2 linked regions of the Neurospora crassa OR74A genome follow. The protein of the gene in region 1 interacts with the protein of each later gene in a biochemical or structural test. Links are inferred from orthologs where the notes say so. Each region holds a gene or a part of one and is shown in the gene's direction. Other genes may lie near its edges. The genes, in order: hat-2 and NCU07757.

Region 1 (4,392 bases):
GCGAGGTAAAGAAAACGGTGCAAAAGGCGATGACGAAGCTGCTATGGTAGACGCAGTATGACTGTGGCCCACAATATCGGCTGATTTGTTACATTCTTTAAACCACCTAATCCAGTCATCTCAAGAAAGAGGAATAGTACCTCTAGTAGGTAAATGTAGCTTTGGCTTTACCGACAGCCTAGTACGTAACCATGGCTTCGGCCGTGGCTTTAACACAGTTTCCCACTGTACGTCAAAAACACCATTGGTAGTGAGTGTACTGTTGCTGAACTTCATGGCCCTGCCAGTTCGCAGGGTATAACATCCGAACTGTCATGCCAAAAACGGGCTGAGCACTGGTATGGGCGTGCGAGTGTGGTTGCAGAGAAATGAGAATCCAGAGAGACTGGAAATGACATCTCGCATCAGTTCAGGTGTGTTCTGCCCCCCACGTTGCGGGTGACATTGTGGCCATTTGGCCCGAACAGAGAGGGAGACGGGACTTAAGTTGCGCGTCACTCTACTGTTGTAAGAGATCAATTAATCAGTATTTGATTTCGCTCTCGATTCATGTCTCTTCGCCTCCAACGGGGTCCTATTCCTTCTGTACCTGCCGTTGATTTGGTTGTCACACAAGGCGGGGAAGCTTTAGTTCTTCCTCCATATTCTTTACTTTACCTGGATGGTACTTGTAAGTTGTAGGTGAGGTCGCATACCGTATAGACTCGGGGCGTTGGTTTTCAACTTTCTGGGAAATCAGGCCTAAGCTGTAAGCATACTGCAACATTCATGCCCACCAAAAATTCTATGCAAGACGGTGATTTTGAATGTCTCCACGCTCCAGCGCCCTTGAAAAGATAGGTGTTTTAAGGCAGGACATTGAAGAATCGAATTTACCGTGCTTCGGGGTGGCAACATGGAAGTCTCCTCCAATTAATTTTGTGGACATAAAATGCACATAATCGGGCAGCATGCTTACAGGTTATGCCTGATTTCCTAGGAAGTTGAAAATCAACGCCCCGAGTTTCCAGGTTGTACAGTTTAGGTATTAGGTACCTGGGCTACCTACCTCTACCTCTACCTGTACCTACCTACCTATTCCAGGTTCCTTACCAGATTCCCAAAGCAAGTTCCAGGTTCAACGCTACCTAGGTATTATGCTTCAAGACCAGGGACAGTGTGCGCGAGCCATTCACTGCACTTAGCGTCCCCCAGTCACTGCCCTGGGGCTGCTCGCTAGGTATCTAGAATAGGTAGGTACCTAGGTAGGCTGTCACACGGCTGCCAGACCCGGGCCCGGTCAACGGACCCACTTAGAGGTACCTAGAGTAGCCGTGCAGTGGCCCCGACAGGCCGATTCGTTGTTCGCATTCAAGCACGCTTGCACTCCGCGCAGTGGCAGTGTGCTTCCTTGCTTGTGGGAGGTTCAACACTTTTGCAACTTCCGCTAGGTACCGTTGCAACCTCAACGTCAACCTCACCCTCGACTCACCCGACGGCCATTTCGACTCTGCCACAACCACGACCCAAAATTGCATGCGGCGTTGCCAACACCCCACCAACACCGAACGCGCGCTTGGTTCACTTTGCTCCCCCGCCGCGGGCATTCTCGACGATTTCTCCGCTCCAGGATCATGATCTGACAGCTTAACCGGCCGCGCAACCGTTGGAGGGAGCAAGAGAGAGACGGGCGGACGACTGCGCGACAGACGACAACACACAGCGTTGAGGCGGCATCGCCTCTCCGCCCGGCAAGATGCCCGCAGACAACGACGACTTTGATTTCAACGCCCTCAATGAGGAAGGATGGAAGGAGCAGGAGGCCCGCGATGAGGAAGCCATTCGCCAGATCAACAACAGCTTCGGCCCGGGTGGTAACGATGGTCTGACTGAAATGCTGGGGAACCTCCAGTCGGGAGGCGAGATCGATCAACGAGGCAAGGCAGACGATGCCATCGACTTTGAGGACATCGACTTGAGCGACGAGGACGAGCTACCCAACGACGAACCGAGCACTTCCGGCACCAGTGGCGAGCTGCCAAGCCTCATCGACGACGCCGGCACTAATGATGACGACGACCTCTTTGGTGGCGACCCCTCATCGCCCATGGACACAGCTCACGATGGCCTGAGATCCTCTCCCCCGCCGCTCGACGTCCATGACGATGTTGATGCCAAAAAACGTCCGGATGCTGCCGCCGGGGAGTCCCTTGAAGACCTCCGGAACCTCAACTTCGACAATGACGAAGAGCCGCATGCGACAAATCAAGATCCCGACATTCCTCCGCCAGCGGAAAACTTCATCGACGCCGTCAAGCAACTATTCCCCGGTTTTGAGGAAAACGCCATCCTGCATTGGAACGAACTATTGAAGCCCAAGAATGCCACATGGATCTCAAAAAAGCCCCCCAAAGCTCCCAAGCCCTTGATACCATCAAAACTCAGTCTGGAGTTGGATGCCGATCAGGAAAAGCAGTTCCGGATTCCGGGCCCTGCCACTGGCTCCGTTTGGCAGAGGATTAAGGAAGCGGAAGCGAGAGGTCTGTTCTGTCTCGAAGAGCCAGAGCCTTTGGAACAAACCGATCTGGAAGTATTCAGCTTGGACGACGAAACGGATTCGGAGAGGATAGGTGGATATACCCTCCAGGACATAGCTACGATATGTCAGGACTGGGAACAGATGATTTTCTTGGGCGACAGTCTTGCGGCTGCCATCGAGCCGGGACCGCAGCCGAAACCTGACAACATGCTCATTAAGGATGAGCCTGATGAAGAGGCGGACTGGGATGCCATGTTCCTCGATGAGCCTGCTCAAAAGCGGAGAAAGATCGAAATTCCTAAAGGTCTTCCTCCTATTGCTCACTTCACGGCTCCAAATTTGGACGAATTCGAGCAGGTCACTTCGAAATTGGGCAAGCGTGTCATCCTTGACATGAACGACCCTTATTTGCTGATAGACGACGTCGAATCTGAGCGGTCATCTAAGCGGCGAAAGACCCAACATAAAACGGTCCGCTTGGCGAATGGGAAAGCTGGGCGGGACCTTATACAGCGGTTCAATTTCTCCTCTGACGCTGCTTACGACGCGTTGAAGGAGAACAGCCAGAATAGGGTTCGGGCCACGTTGGCTACTATCCCTGTCGAGCACAGTTTGCCTGCGCAGAGACTGTCTTGGCCTTACTACCGCGTCAAGCTCGCGGCCAGTGACCCTCATAGTTATCACCGGCCTCAGCTCCACCCTAAGAAGGATCTGCAGTATCTCATCAGGTTCGACAAGCCTGCCATTATCAAGCGCAAGACTCTCAAGGGTAAACGCGTCAGCGAGGTATTTAAGAGTACTCATGACCTCTCCCTCAACGACAACTCGACCGCTATCCTTTTCGAGTACTGCGAGGAAATTCCCACCGTTCTCTCCAACTTTGGCATGGGACAGAAAATCATTAATTACTTCCGTCGAGCTAAAGGCGCTGATAGCAGACCTGAGAAGCGTGAGCTTGGCGAGACTTGTATATTGATGCCAGAAGATCGCTCACCCTTCGCCATCTTCGGTCACGTCCACCCTGGCGAGGTCGTGCCTACTCTTCACAACCACATGTTCCGCGCCCCTATTTTCAAGCATAACCCGAGGAATACAGACTTCCTGATTGGTCGTAGCAGTACCGGCCAAAAAGGCTCAACTTGGTACATCAGAAATATCGATCATCTTTACGTTGTCGGCCAAACCCTGCCCTCCATGGAAGTCCCAGGGCCCCATTCCAGACGTGTTACAAACATTGCCAAGAATCGTCTCAAGATGGTCTCGTATCGCCTACTTCGCAAGAGCGAGCATGTTACCCTCCATGATATTACTAAGCATGTAGCTGAGTCCAACGAGTCTCAGAATCGTCAAAAGTTGAAGGAGTTCCTGCGCTTTAGAAAGGAAACAAAAGATTGGGCGCTGCCCGAAGGCGAAGAGCTAATGGCCGAACCGGCCATTCGATCTCTTGTTAGGCCGGAAGAGGTCTGCCTATTGGACGCCATGCAAGTGGGCTTGCACGAGATCGAGAAGGGTGGTTATGATGCTACCGATTCCCTCAAGGACGATGACATTGGGGTTGATGTGAACGATGAGCTCTCTCCAGATGCTCTTGCCAACAAGATGGCGCCTTGGAAGACTACCAAGGCATTTCTTGACGCCAGTCATGGCAAGGCTATGCTTGCAGTTCATGGCGCCGGCGACCCGACGGGCAAGGGACTGGGCATCAGTTTCCTGAGGACGTCCATGAAAGGCGGCTATCTTGAGCAGCTCCAAGGACCAATGGCCACATCAGCAGATGCCATAGAGAGGCAGCGCAAAGCGAACGGTGGGCACATGTACAACGTCAAGAACCAGGACACACTCTACACCGAGGCTCTTACCGATATCTGGAACCG
Region 2 (4,110 bases), on another chromosome or scaffold:
GGGCTGGTTCTTCTAGGGGCCGACAGCATGGTACATAACGGGCATGCACTTGACAGGCCACAAGCCTAGAATAGACTTTCGGTTTCACGCAGATCTGATCAAGTTGGGTCTGCAGTGGCCTCCTGTTGCAAATGGAGTGAAGCAGTCCAGTCTTTTCTCTGAAATGTTTTTTTTCTGTGTGCAACGGTATTGGGACAGAAAGCTGCACATAGTCCATGGAGCCTTTTCCGTCTCCAAAAGAGTTTTGTTGTTTTGGTGTAAGCCATCATATGGGAAAGGAGCTGATTGTAGTTGGGGATTTCCCAGCCAGACTAGGGTACCTACTAGGGATATCAGGGCAACGTTGAGCGTTTGATGGAGATATTGGGATAAAGGACATTTGATGGGATGGGATTTAGCCACTGGTGTTTGGTACAGCTAGCTCTGTGACAAGGGCAGGAGGATCTGCGATGTCGATTCATAATTCGGCAAATACTTCAAAGGGGAGAATCGAAACGGCGCGGAACTTTCTCACATCTTATGCGATGACCAACCCTCGCTGGTATGGTGATGAGCCATACTTCGAGCCGTTATATGCTACCCTCCGTTGTCAACACCCGCTACCCGAGTCAGGTACGAAAAGTTTGGGGGAAGACTGGACAAAGGCTCAAGAGCCCCACGAGGAGAGAAAATTGAAGAGAAAAAAAAAAGAAAAGTGAAGGAGCACTGCCAGACATAGATGAGCACCATAAGGATAGAATAATGTCAGCTAGCAACTAATGGGAAAATAACAAACGTACGTAGAGGCATGTTACTCATGAATCACTTGATGATTTGGCCCAGAAAAGGGCTTATGTAGGTATCAAAGCAAAATACAGCAGAAATCTTGAAGTCCGTATATGGGGGGAACTTGGGAATCGAATCTTGCATGAAGGAACAGCGAGGTCGAAGGTTGATGTTGTTTACAAATCATGATGGTGATTGGTAACTCCAGATGGGACGGACCAGATACATCGTCTGTTTGGCGGCGCCTTCGAGGCGAGGTTGTTGATTTCCGGAATCCTGTACAACAATCTGTACAGAAAGAATGCTCCAGATATCTCCACATCGCGGGTGCGGGCGACAACGTGGACGACAATGCTGAGTGAATGGAAGGTGAGGTTGAAGAGATGAAGTCGAAGGACGTCGTTGGATAGTGTGGAGTGTCTGCACTGTACAGTCCAATACTGGGTTGTCTGTTAGCTCGAGACCTCTTGTCAACTTGTCCAGACGGTACCACATGTGGTTATTAGTGCTCTTTGACTCCCAGGGCATGAGTTTGGATGAAAATGGCCACTCGAAGCTCCATAATCCATGTCGTCAACAATAAATTTGCATGTTGAAGGACAATTACGGCGTTCAGGACGAGTCTATATGATTCTACTCGGGGTGCCAAACTAACATAGTATCTAAATCAGCATTGGCGGTACTGCGCTAACCCTAACCCACTGCGGGGCCGCTCTCCGTGGTTCGTCAGCTGCCCTTGTGTGTCCATCCACTGTGATGTTTGACCTGTACATACATCATTCCATGAACGCGACAGCTTCCCTCCACGCGACTTGGATCGACGATTTGCAGACCACCATCCCACCCCAGACAGACTTTACCACCCACATTATCACACCGAACCGACGAATTCACGAACCATGGCAGGGGAGGGACCCAAACTCCTCTGGAACCCCGAGAACGTCAAGGATGTCGCCGAGTCGATAGGAATCAACCTGACCGAAGAGCCCCTCCGCGTCCTCACCCAAGATGTCGAATACCGAATTGGCCAGGTCGTCGTCGAGGCCCTACGCTTCATGCGCGCCGCCAATCGCACCACTCTGACAGTCCAAGATGTCTCGCAAGCTCTACGAGTTCTCGACGTCGAGCCCCTCTACGGATACGATTCCACGCGGCCACTTCGCTACGGAGAAGCCAGCATCGGTCCCGGCCAACCGCTGTTCTACATTGAAGACGAGGAGGTGGACTTTGAGAAGGTCATCAACGCTCCCTTACCAAAGGTGCCCCGCGATATGAGCTTTACTGGTAAGCTTGTTTCAGTTCTCTCTCTCACCCAGTGCTCACCTCACCTCAACCTAGTCGCATCAGCTAACACTTTTCTTCCTCTCGCGCGCAGCCCACTGGCTCGCAATCGACGGCGTCCAGCCCTCCATCCCCCAAAACCCCACCACAGCCGAGACCTCCTCCAAGGACCTCCTGCCCAAGGGTCCCGGCGCTAACCCCGCCGTCGCCGCCCTCGCCGGCAACGACAACGTCGCCTTCCGCCCCGCCGTCAAGCACGTCATCAGCAAAGAGCTCATCCTCTACTTTGACAAAGTCCAAGCGGCCATCATGGACGACGACCCGGACGAAGAAAAGACGCGCCTGCGCTCCGCGGCTCTGGACTCGGTCCGCTCCGACCCCGGTCTCCACCAACTGGTGCCCTACTTTGTGTCCTTCATCAACAACCAAGTGACGCACCGACTCGACGACCTCTTTGTGCTCCGGCAAATGATGGAACTCACCGGCGCCATCCTCGACAACCCCTCCATCTTTCTCGACCCGTACGCCTCCTCCCTCGCCGCGCCCGTCTTGACCTGCCTCATGGCCCGCAAACTCGGCGGCTCCGAATCCAGTCTCGAAGGAACCGACGCCCTGAAAGACCAGTACCGCCTCCGCGAAGTGGCTGCCAGTTTGCTCGGCACCATCGCACGGAAATATTCCAAGACCAACGCCCTGTTGCGCCCCAAACTCACGCGCACGTGCCTCAAGTTCTTTTTGGACCCAAGCAAGTCCCCTGCGGTCTTGTACGGCGCCATCAGCGGGCTCGCGGCCGCCGGCGGGCCCGAGGCCGTGCGCATCCTGGTTCTTCCTAACTTGAAGATGTTTGACGAGGGGATCTTGACTCCGCTCCGCGAAAAGGGCGAGGCGAGCCATTTCGAGTACGAGGCGCTGGTGGGAGGGATCATGAAGGCCATTGAGACGCTGGTGGAGGGGATCACCCTGCCTGTTGTTGCGGACGTGGCCGAGTTGGAGAGGGAGGGGCAGTTGGTGATTGAGTTTTTGGGAAGGACGATTGGTGAAAGGGTGGCGAGGTTGGGGAACCAGCATTTGAATCGGGGGATTTTGGAGGTGAGGCATTTGGAGTAGTGGTTGAATGCCGCCGCCGCGGCGATGAGAGCTCGATCATGATGGAAGAGAAGAGATTGAAAAGGAGGTGAGAGAAAGACTGAAGGAGGGAGGGAAAATGGTCGGCAGCACGCGAAAAGTTGAATTCCTACGGGACTTAGATTTTCCCGTACTTTGTATCCTTACCTGGGGGTTTTCTTTTAATCATACAGCGTGGCGTTTGGGTTTGGTTTTTCATATGAGAGTTTTAATGAATGGACTTGGTTAGTCGGATAGGTACAGAGGGTCGGTCAAAATTGATGAAAAGTTGGCTCACTGCATGGCTTGAAGATATACTTTGAGAACTAGACCTAAAAACAGTTCGTCCTTCTATGCTTGTCTTCCGGGCTACTGTTCCATGATGATTTATGTACTCGTTGTGATCATTGATCGTTCGTTCGTTTGTGCTTGGACACTCGACAACCACACAACACGATGGTTCCCTGAGCTGGATCATCGAAGATTTAGCTTCTATTTAGTTTTTTTTGGATACAAACTAATGGCAGGTTCCTGGGAACGTGTTTGCGTACCAGCAGCACAGATCTCACTAGACCATATATATATACCCACGGTTCAAGCGTGCTTTGCTTCACGCGAAGGACGAAAAAAAAAAGTGAATGTCTCCATTTCAACAAACCTCCCTCCCCTTCCTCTTCCTCCCCTCTAGGTAACAGGTTTACTCATACAGCACACGACCCAATCTTTTTCCGTGGAAATGACCGCAGGAGTTTTATGTCCAAGAGTAGTTTCCCCCGTTCCTTCCTTCCTCCCAATCCCTTCTCTTATCTACCAAGCTTCACCACACCTAAACCACCCTTCTTCCTAAGAAAAATGATGATCTACATGAAAAAAGCCAAATACACACCGCCCACAATGCTCGCTCCCCAAAAGTACCAACCAGTCTTGATGATCGTCGCCCTCGAGAAGCCAATGCCCAGA

The links.
Region 2: the proteins of hat-2 (region 1) and NCU07757 form a complex in vitro, tested with the Saccharomyces cerevisiae proteins (2 studies listed by BioGRID). The link is inferred for Neurospora crassa OR74A from reciprocal best matches to the Saccharomyces cerevisiae genes TAF1 and TAF6.

Annotation. Positions count from the first base shown.
Region 1 is NC_026501.1:2,720,063-2,724,454, forward strand, and holds the start of hat-2 (histone acetyl transferase-2), read left to right. Parts: upstream 1-1,358; 5' UTR 1,359-1,735; coding exon 1,736-4,392. UniProt on the Saccharomyces cerevisiae protein: Functions as a component of the DNA-binding general transcription factor complex TFIID. Binding of TFIID to a promoter (with or without TATA element) is the initial step in pre-initiation complex (PIC) formation.
Region 2 is NC_026505.1:401,735-405,844, forward strand, and holds NCU07757 (transcription initiation factor TFIID complex 60 kDa subunit), read left to right. Parts: upstream 1-1,550; 5' UTR 1,551-1,664; coding exon 1,665-2,049; intron 2,050-2,140; coding exon 2,141-3,153; 3' UTR 3,154-3,434; downstream 3,435-4,110. Other genes in the region: NCU07758 (hypothetical protein), read left to right, coding at 450-612, 823-834, 974-1,152; tca-11 (succinate dehydrogenase cytochrome b560 subunit), read right to left, coding at 4,011-4,110.